Yarrowia lipolytica: one gene and its partners. Each later gene encodes a partner of the first gene's protein in a complex. Links are inferred from orthologs where the notes say so. Each region holds a gene or a part of one and is shown in the gene's direction. Other genes may lie near its edges.

Evidence for each region. The genes of interacting proteins can lie anywhere in the genome.
Region 2: YALI1_D15952g (region 1) and YALI1_C29148g share a complex: the UniProt entries of both Saccharomyces cerevisiae proteins name them as parts of the mitochondrial large ribosomal subunit. The link is inferred for Yarrowia lipolytica from reciprocal best matches to the Saccharomyces cerevisiae genes MRPL1 and MRPL32.
Region 3: YALI1_D15952g (region 1) and YALI1_E20635g share a complex: the UniProt entries of both Saccharomyces cerevisiae proteins name them as parts of the mitochondrial large ribosomal subunit. The link is inferred for Yarrowia lipolytica from reciprocal best matches to the Saccharomyces cerevisiae genes MRPL1 and MHR1.

What each region holds. Positions count from the first base shown.
Region 1 is NC_090773.1:1,593,630-1,597,431, reverse strand, and holds YALI1_D15952g (mitochondrial 54S ribosomal protein uL1m), read left to right. Parts: upstream 1-2,138; coding exon 2,139-3,023; downstream 3,024-3,802. Other genes in the region: YALI1_D15965g (uncharacterized protein), read right to left, coding at 445-840; YALI1_D15963g (mitochondrial 54S ribosomal protein bL34m), read left to right, coding at 1,115-1,510; YALI1_D15937g (uncharacterized protein), read left to right, coding at 3,692-3,802. UniProt on the Saccharomyces cerevisiae protein: Component of the mitochondrial ribosome (mitoribosome), a dedicated translation machinery responsible for the synthesis of mitochondrial genome-encoded proteins, including at least some of the essential transmembrane subunits of the mitochondrial respiratory chain.
Region 2 is NC_090772.1:2,913,066-2,916,245, forward strand, and holds YALI1_C29148g (mitochondrial 54S ribosomal protein bL32m), read left to right. Parts: upstream 1-1,758; coding exon 1,759-2,319; downstream 2,320-3,180. Other genes in the region: YALI1_C29141g (uncharacterized protein), read right to left, coding at 1-1,046; YALI1_C29158g (uncharacterized protein), read left to right, coding at 2,792-3,180. UniProt on the Saccharomyces cerevisiae protein: Component of the mitochondrial ribosome (mitoribosome), a dedicated translation machinery responsible for the synthesis of mitochondrial genome-encoded proteins, including at least some of the essential transmembrane subunits of the mitochondrial respiratory chain.
Region 3 is NC_090774.1:2,061,886-2,065,036, forward strand, and holds YALI1_E20635g (mitochondrial 54S ribosomal protein mL67), read left to right. Parts: upstream 1-1,675; coding exon 1,676-2,290; downstream 2,291-3,151. Other genes in the region: YALI1_E20626g (uncharacterized protein), read right to left, coding at 1-755. UniProt on the Saccharomyces cerevisiae protein: Component of the mitochondrial ribosome (mitoribosome), a dedicated translation machinery responsible for the synthesis of mitochondrial genome-encoded proteins, including at least some of the essential transmembrane subunits of the mitochondrial respiratory chain.

The sequences.
Region 1 (3,802 bases):
GGTGAAATGTGAAAGGAGATTTTTTAGATAGAAGTTAGATCTGCATGATGGGCGATAGACAAGGATGGAGACGGGAAGAAGTGGGGAGAAAGGGCTGATCCCCAGGACGTTTGAGATTGCAAATTCGCCCCATTTATTCTATGTGAACAGGGGCAACATAATACACTCCCCTACCGAAACTGTAGCTATCAAAATATCAACGGGATTGACATCTGGCCAGTTGATCCGACAGCCTGGGAATGCCCTACACCAGATCCGATATGCCAAACCCGTAACGACCCACTCTCCAGCTACACTACACACCTCTCTAAGTAAACATGTTGATTCTATAGTTAATGTACATTAATAATGCTACCCTGTGTCGACACAGGGGGGTGGGTGGGGGGAGAGGGTGAGTAGACAGTAAAGGTGTGGTAGAGCCAAAGCGGCGGACGACAGCATCTCTTAAGCCTCTTCCTGGTCTTGGTCCTGGTCCTCATTGGTCTCCTCAGACTCTTCAGAGTCGTCGGAATCCTCAGACTCCTCCTGGTTATCGTTATCTCCTCCGTCGGTGGTTGTGTTGGAATCCCCCTTGTCCTTGTTCTCCACCTCCTTCTCTTCAGCCTCCAACGGAGGCAAGCCCCGCAGGTCTCGCTGGACCCGTCGCAGCTGCTGGATCATGGCGTGGTTTCGCGACACGACCGACGGCATGCTGTCGCTGGACATGGACAGCAGCTGGTCTGTGCTCTCGGTGGTGGCATCGATGTACTGTGTGATGATCTCCTCGGCCTCGCCGTTGGGGATCGCCTTGGACGAATGCACTTCTATGGCCGTGGGGCCGGGCGCTTTGTAGGACGACATGCTGGTGGTTGTGGTGGGGGCGGCGCGGTTAGTACGTCGGGATCAAGCCAACGGGATTTTTTTTTTTGCAACAGCGTGATCCACAAGTGCGCAGTGAAGGCAAATAAAATTGAGCTTGCAGCTGAATGGGGAAATTCGGGTTAGGGTATAATGTGGGAGTCGGGACAATATGTGAAAAAGTGCCTACAAATATATTAATAGCAGAGAACGGCACAACACTCCAGACAAGTAACCCGTCGGTACTGTACCATATCAACAAGCCCCCAACCCAGCCATGCTCAGAATCATCACCAGAGCCGCTGCAACCAAGGTGGTCCGACCCGCACCCCTCATGGCCCGAAACATGGCCACGCTCGGAGGCAACGTGAACCCTCTGACCGCTATCAAACAGCGATCCGCCACCATGATCCAGCCCAACTCCGTGCCGTCGTGCATTCCCGCGGCCTCAGGGGTCGCCTCCGCGCTCGCCCAGGGCTCTACCGCCACTCTGCCCTTCCTCACGCCCTTTTCCGGCGCCTCCCAGCGACGATACGTGCGAGGTATCGACTACCAGCCCTCGGTCCGAAAGCGAAAGCGATCTCTTGGCTTTCTGGCCCGATCGCGATCTCGAACCGGCCGAAAGATTATCAAGCGACGGACTCTCAAGGGTCGGTGGTTCCTGACCCACTAGAAGGACACCACAACTAATGTATATAGCAAAGAGGATTATTGGTATGAGACAATGAAGATGGCAGTAGCTATGGTATCAGTTGTAGTCGTACAAGTACTTGTAATATAGTACGATGGATTCTTGACCAAGAATGAATCCATCAGGCAAGTTGGCCTTGTACTCGTACGATGACCAATGAATGTCTGCTAAGAAGAATGTGCCACGGGATTGGGGCAAAAGAAACGAAACAAACGGGTGGAATAACTTCAAATGTACCCTCCGAAACCAGTCGCCTCTTCCTCAAAGTATCAGATCATCTTTTATGTATCAGATCATCTTTTTTCACCGCTTTCATCCATCCACTCATAAGGTGTATGTAGGGGATCCAAAAGTGATCCTTTTGGGCAAAAAGGAAGTGGGTGAGCTGAGACTGGAGAAACCGGAAGGAGTGGAGCAAAAGATGAAAATCCCACGTCTTAAGCCAGCTTTTCCTCACTCAATCTAGCCGCTTCAACCCCACCAACACCCCACAAATTGACTCCACTGGTCGCTCCTGTAAACTGTAGAGAAACTCCCAAAGTCGAGATGAAATTTCACAGCTTAATTTTTCACCACATCACATCACACTACATCCAACCACCACCAAAAAATGCTCAGACTCACACACGCGGCCAAGCTGACGGCCGGTGGCGTTGCCCAGAGCGTGCGGCCGCTGTCGACCTCGGCTGTGGCGCTCGGCAAGAAGAAGAAGGACACCTCCGGAGCCGTCAACCAGCCCAGTTACAAGGAGCTGGTGATCCGACGAGAAAAGGAACGACTGCGAGAGATCACCCAGCGAAAGGAGCGGGCCAAGTTTGCCCAGCAGATGCGAAAGGCCCGAGACCGTCTGTCGCACCCGCTGCTCATGGACTTCCCCCTGGCTCTGCGGTACATTCGGGCCATGGAGGTGGGCTGGCCCTCGTCCTCCACATCGATAGTGGTGTCGTGGTCTATTGTGGCCAAGAAGGGAACCAACGGCATCACGGGCACCGTGCGACTGCCCAAGGCCATCGGCAGCGACACCATCTGTGTCATCACCTCCAACGAGGCCCAGGCCCAGGCTGCTAAGGAGGCCGGAGCTTCTCTGGTGGGCGGACAAGAGCTCATTGATGACCTGCTGTCGGGCAAACAGCCCCTCGACTTCAACAAGTGCTATGCCACACCCGAAATCATTGGCAAAATGGGCCGACTCGGCCGAGTGCTGGGTCCTAAGGGAATGATGCCCTCCGCCAAAAAGGGCACTGTGGGCAACGATGTCGCCGAGATCATCGCCTCCACCTCCGGAGTCATGCCCTTCCGAGAGTCTGCCGGCTGTCTCTCCATCAAGGTCGGAGACGCTTCCTTTACCGACACAGAGATTGTGGAAAACATTGCTGCGGCGTCTCGAGCAGTCCGAGAACAGATTGCAAAGACCCGAGACACCGCCAAGCCCTCGTCTCTGGCCCGAACCACTCTGCGGTCCTTCCACTCTCCCGCCATTACCATTGATGCGTAATTTGTATATATGATAGATTGGATAACAACTTTTGTTGTCTTGTGTTGTCTTGTGTCTGCCAGCTTGTAGGGCAGTTTTAGTTAGGTTCAGTAGTAGAGATTAGTTGGAAAGCAAAGTGCACTGGGGGTGTAAAATACCGTTTCCAGACATGCTGGTGTAGAAACGAGTACATCAGCAGATAGAGCGCACTCGGTATCCAACTAATGTGCGAAGACAATACATGTTTGTCATACAACATTTCGAGATATATTCATTTCGAAATTTCAAGTTAACTACTTTTACTTGACAGTTACTTTGCAACTATACTTTCCAATCCACAAGAGCAAAAGTGCAGTGTAGTTAAGGCCTATTTTGTTAGATTTTGTTGACTAACAAGTCAGCTGGGGGTCCTTTATTTGTGCCCCAGAAAAGATAACGACTAGGAACAAATCCCATTATATACAGAAATCCACTTTTACCAACAAATACAAATGATAAATACACATTGCTCACGCAATGTTTGGAGATATCGAAGCTCCAACGACACCGTCCAACTAATATTACTTAGCCTTCTACTTCAAACTCTACTTAGCCCCAGCTCCAGCACGGTACGATAATAAACTCACATCGTCAAGTGCATACGCATACACGTACACCATCATCAGCGTGTCACTACCAAGTACACAATCATGGTTCTCATCCCCAAGGAACCCAAGGAGCACGTGGAGCGTCGCGCCAACATTCTGGTGGCGTACATTCTCACCTTTGTGCTTCTCGGCATGCCTTTATGGCTCTACACC
Region 2 (3,180 bases), on another chromosome or scaffold:
GGACCTGCGGATCCTGCACTGCCAGGCACACCGGCGGTGGAAGCAAAGGGATGCTGGGAATGGGGCTGGGGCTGGGGCTGAGGCTTGGGGACACCAGCGGGCGAAATGCCAGCACTCTGACCACTGCTGGTGTTCTCCTTCAGAGCAAGAAGCTGCTTGGATCGGAACGCCTCGTAGTGCACATGGGCGGTAGTCTCAATGAGATCCTGCAGATGGGAGCAAATGAGGAAGTTTCGCAGGTAGGGGAACTCGCAGTGAGTCTCGTCCTCCACGTTAACAACACCCCACCGGGTCTTTCGTCCTCGCACAGTCTTGCCCTTCACAACAACGTTCTTGTCGGAGCCAACCACAGCAAAGGGGATAAACTGCTTGATCTGTGCGTTTTGATACTGTTCGTCCTCGTCGTAGTCGGCCGAGTCCAGAGGGTACAGCTTGAGTCTGTGGTGGGCAAATTCCATCTGCACGGTCTCCTTGAAGGCCTGTCGTTCGGCCAGGGTTAGCGAGTCGCTCTTGGCGATGACGGGCACCACGTTGGCAATCTCAGTCAGCTTTTTGAGCACGACTATGTCGATGGGCTTGAGACCGTGGCCGGTGGGCTGGATGAAGAAGAGCACACAATGCACCCGGGTGTCGGGAAGATGCTTCTCTCGCTGCGCAGTCAGCTCCTTTCGAAGGTACTGGCTGTGCTGGTCCTTGATGTACTTGGTGATGGGGTCCCAGCACTTTTCGTTGTTGACCTGGTCACCGTAACCAGGGGTATCGATGATGTTGAGCTTGAGACGCACGCCGTTCTCCTCAACCACATGACTGACGCACTTGATGTCGGGGGTCTTAGTGATGGGTTCGCCGGCCTCAGTTCGTCCAGAAGAAGATGCCAACTGCGACGCAAACAGAGTGTTGATGAGCGTGGTCTTTCCGAGACCAGACTGGCCCACAACCATCAGGTTGAACTGGAACCCTCGCTTCAGAAGCCGTCGCTCAATCTGCTGGGTGATGGAGTCGAACCCGACCTTGCTGCCGGGCGTGATGGTTTCGGTGGACATCATTTATGAGTGGTTGTGTGGTGGTACAGATGTGTGTTGGTGATACGTACAATAGGGTGTATGTAATGCGTGTCGCGTTTCCCCTGAACTTTAATTTTCAAGTTGGAGGCCGGGTAACGGGAGGGAATGTGTGAGATTAGCCAAATGTGCCAGACATGGGTGATTTGGAGGGGGCTGAGGATAATATTTGATCAATGACTCGATCACGTGATGTTTATGAGATTAGGAATGATTTCAATTTATATTATTAAGCAATTGGCGAGAATCAGTCTTGTTTGTTGCGACTGACGAGGTCGTAGCTAATCTCAAGACAAGACACAGTAATACAACCAGAAATAAGTGTAATGAACGACCTAAAGTCCCCAGGTGATAAAAATGGGGTTTATATAGGGATCTCACCTTTTTTGATCTTGTTTTTGTGTCCCTGGAGGCCTTTCAGACGCGAACTTGCGGTTGAGCGACTATTTTTATTTTATTATGGTCTCTTACTGATGACCAATAGATTCTTGAGATCATCTACTTCTCAACGACAACAAACAAGCGTTATATATCACGAGAATCGGCTCATCGACATATATTCTCCATTCTCTTCGTCCTCCAAATTTAAACCCTAACCCAGTAACCACAGTGTTCCCATCACGTGACTCTGAAAAATCCTCCCAACCATATTCACCACCTCGAGTCTGAGATCATCACACAACACACACGATCCAAAATGGCTCTACAACTGACCAAGCCGTTTGTGGCTGCTCTCAGCGCCCAGATTCCCGTGGCCGTGAGCGTCACTCTTGCCCCCGGTCTTCTGGGAGGTCTTTTCGGAGGAGCCCAGCATGATCTGGATCTGGAGACCCCCAGCCGAGAGGTGGATCTGGAACAGCATAAGCATGAGGACTGCGACCACGGCATTGTGTACGCCGTGCCCAAAAAGAAGGTGTCGTACGGCCAAAAACGAAAGCGATTCCTCGCTGACACAAAGGCCCTCAAGCCCTTGACTAACCTCAACCGATGTCCTGCCTGTGGACATGTCAAGCGAATGCACACTCTGTGTATGCACTGCTTCTACGAGCTGCGATCCTTCTTTGCCAAGAAGACTCGAGACGCTGAGTCGCTGGTGGACAAGAAGCAGCCTCCCACTCTGCCTGCTCACGACGAGGCCTTTATCTACAAGAACAAGATTGACCGACCTCATTACGACAAGCTCAAGGATACCGCCTCCTATGTGCTCAAGTATCCCCGGTCTCAGGTGTACAAGAAGAAGGACAAGTCGAGAGACTAATGAAAACCCATATGTATATAGTTAAACGATGAACTCGATAATTGAGGGTGTGGGGGAGAGGGTGTAGGGGACAATTTGAGAGTGTGTGATCACTGGATGACATTGAAGGAGTTAACCTGGGGACGTCTGTGACAAACAATGTACCGCAAACACAACCACCCTACTGTAGATACTGTACTTTACTCGTACTGCTCTCTGTCCCATTACTCAGCTCTTTTTCCCAGCGGGTAGTGTAGTTATCAGTACGAAAATATCTGTGGATCATAATAGCAAAGATACGACAATAAAAACACACCTCATTCATCTGAACAGCTTTTGTTTGCTCGTGTTCTTTTCTCTTCTTTTTTTTTTTTTTTTTTTTTTTTTTTCACGTATCACTCCCATATTAAAACCGCTCCACAACAAAGTTCAACCACCAGAGAACATCACCAACCTGATCAGAACCTGCATACACACACGCAACCACAACACGATGGAAAAAAAGCTGGTGACGATCCTGGATAAGGTCAGTGGCCACTACAAGACCGATTACACCCGTCTAGAGTCAAAAACGATCGAAAAAAGCGGATTCCGACAATGGTGCGAAAAATACATGGACGCCAACCCCACCGACAACCTTGATAACATCTTCCGACAAGTTATGTTTGAGAAGATCATGCTACAACCAGAGGACAAGAGAGGACGATCTCTAGCTGCTCTACTCGACTGCATCACCTATGAGTCTCAAACAACTTCATCCGACGAGAAGCCGCTTCTAGAATCAACTTTGACACTTGCTCTGGTCGAAGACATTTTCGACATTCACACAGTCGACTGGTGCCGCCACTTTTGGACCCACTACCTGGTATCACGTGAGGAACA
Region 3 (3,151 bases), on another chromosome or scaffold:
GGGTCCCAGGGAATGCAGTAGCCGCAGTGGTCATCGACAGTCTTGAGCGTGGAGAAGCAGAAGAACCAGATGGCTTCTCGGGTAGTCAGGCCCGAAACCATGTATGCCAGGCCGGCTCCACACGAGTCCATCAGCACGCCCTCCAGAGCAGTGTTGTACAGCGCTCCAATGGCGTAGGGCACATAGAGTCTGTGGTGTCTGGAGTGGAACTTTTTGTATAACCATTTGCTCTGGTGCATGGCCCGATGCAGAAAGTACTGCCACGAGTCGAGAATGAAGAAGGCAAAGGAGATTTTGACAAAGGGCAGCAGATAGGTGTAGGCGAACGCCGCGAGCCACGCCTTTGCGGGGCTCGTCTGTCCTCCAAACCGAACCTGCCACGTCCAAATGTCGTGAGCTTCATGGCCAGTCGTGTTGGGCTCCTCAAAGTAGTTGAGTAGCAGGCCCAGAGCCGTCTGGAGCATGTGTTGCTTGATAACGTCTCGAACAACCTCCGCAAACGTGCACTTGTTGCGCTTGGTCACCTCCTCAGGAGTGTGGATCCGGTACTGTTCGAGCAGCTCGTACTGGTCGATGATGTGGAACATGATGCCCGACGTCCAGTAGCAGATGATGGGCAGCAGCAGCGCGAGATTCTCGTCCGAGATCCATGACACGAGTGGTGGAATGGAGTGTTTGTAGATAGGAGGCGGTATCGACGACACGTTGGGGGCCGTCAGCGTTATTGGGCCGAGATTGAAGGTGCCGTTGTACATGTCGCAAGGGGTGGAGCTGTTTATTTCGCTGGAGCTGGCGGTGTAGCTGGAGTTGTTGGCGAGCAAGTCGGTACAAATGTAGCGTTTTTTTTCGTAGGTCAGGGGAAGATACGCGCCAAAGTTGGAAACTCTTAATTGTAACGTCTTGCCATTTTTGGTGACAAAGACACATAACCTTCTAGACTTATCAGATGGGCAGGTGGAGCGATGGACAGAGGACGGGGTTCAAGTTGGGCTCGGAAACCAGGGTCTAGACCGCCCATTTCCCACCTGGCAACCTTCAAATTTCCGAAAAATCGCCACCTTGGCCCTCTTTACTGCCCCTCCCCCCGTCATCCGTGCCTGCTTCTACACTCTCGTACCACAAGTTTCGCCACAGCGTAGCTAAGACAAGCTCCTACAGAGAAAAACCACCCTAGAAAAACACTAATGGCACCATACTTGTGAAGTCAAAAAACAGCAGTAGAATGATCATGTCAAGAGACCGAGGAGGAAGCCCTCTGACGGGGACGTATAACAGTATGAATGGTGTCGGTGGGTGGAGTAGTAGGGGTAGTCACGTGACATATATCCCTAGGCCCGTGTCGGTTCCTTCCTTGCCCCTGATTTTTTTCCAATTATCTGCTTTTCTTGGATTTATTTCGCTTGCACATTTTCGGTCGATCGATGTCTCGCTAGACGCGTCCCCCCAAATTTCAGAGTTCAACTTTGTTGAGCCGAGACCGAGCTGAGTCAGAAGAGTTGGTTTCGGGCGTTAGTCAGCGAAGGGAAGAGCTAGACCGATCATCCCGTGACCGTCACCTCGTGAACGCCAGTTCGAATCCCGCGAAAACCATTTGCAATTTTTCCCTCCCTCCAGACCTCCCTCAAACCCTAATGGAGATCACAAATTTCACACTGCAACATCATCTCCATCAACAATGGCACAGTACACAAAAGCCATGGGCACCGTACGAAAGTACACGCCCGCCACTCTCAAGCGAGACGGTAAGCCCGCGTTTGTGTACGTCTACCGACACCTCCAGACGGGACAGGTGGCCTACACCCAGGTCCCCGGCGTGACGGAGCACCATCTCAACCGACAGTTCAAGGACCCCAACTGGGAGAACAAGCGGCCCACCATGCGACAGGATCTGTGGCGGCCCATGGCCGTTGCCGATTTCGGCGACCACCAGGCTGCTTGTGATGCCTACGACGGCCTCGTGTACCTGCGATACAAGCGAACCCACGACGGCAAGAAGGACATCAAGGGGTGGAGAAAGACCAACGCCGCCGGAAACGTGTGGCAGGACGGCCAGTACCGGCCCGTTTACACACAGGAGGCGCTGGCAGACCTGTCGACCGTCACCGAGGCCGTCAAGGTGCCCGTGACCATCCACTGGGAGGACCTGTGGAGACGAGGAGCCGCTGAGTCCTGGCCTGAGAATGCTGACCATAGCGTTCTCAAGCGATGGGACGCCATCTACCCCCAGTCTCTGGAAAAGCGACTTGCCAAGGAAGCCAAGGTGCCTGGTGAGACGACTGCTGAGCAGTAATGTACATAGTTAAGGAAGTGAAACAAAGAGTGCGAAGCACTATGGTTGAACGGGTCCTATCCATGGGTATTCGCTCACAAGACGTTATACTGGCAAAGTAGTAAAGTGTGGATATTGTAGATGGTCTGGCTTGAGCTGTGGGAGTCGGAGTACGAAACAAGTCGAACTCCGATATATCAATAGTGGCCGGATGAGCAGGAGTCTGTAGGAAGTCATGCAGAGCTGCTATAGCTCGCCTTCTGATACTAGAGACTGAGTCAGCTTATGCAACTAACAACTCTGGGCTCTACCATTCCACCATTGACAACAAAGTCGCTGAAGACTGGTACACATTTCACCAATGAGCACAACAAGTCTCTACTATCGATTTCTGTAGTTATCCTCAGTGTCAACTCCACAAATCACACTTTGAACCCCCACTCTTTTGACAAAGCGTAGGTTCAGAATGGTTGAGAGCACGGGTTCAGAAAGGTTCAGAAAGGGTCAGAAAGGGTTCAGCACCGGTCGAAAAAGCAGGCTAACAAGGCTGGATACGAGGGCAGTGCTGTTTCTATACGGCTATACGGCTATGCGGCTGTACGCTATACGGGTGATAGACATGTCTTCAATCTGTCCAAGCAGCCTTACGGTGTTATCAACGCGTAAAACACACTTCTTCAACAAGTGATGGTCCATATACAATTCAATACAATACGAGTATCAGTATACTCGAGACAACAATGATTTAGTTGGCTACAGTACTTTTAACGACAGTTGTTCGTGTCGTTTGACGTCTGATTCTTTTTATCAATCAAATATTACTCTTAAATACAATAATCCTTTCTAGTAGTACGGACTCATACAACTAAACCCAAGTAGATC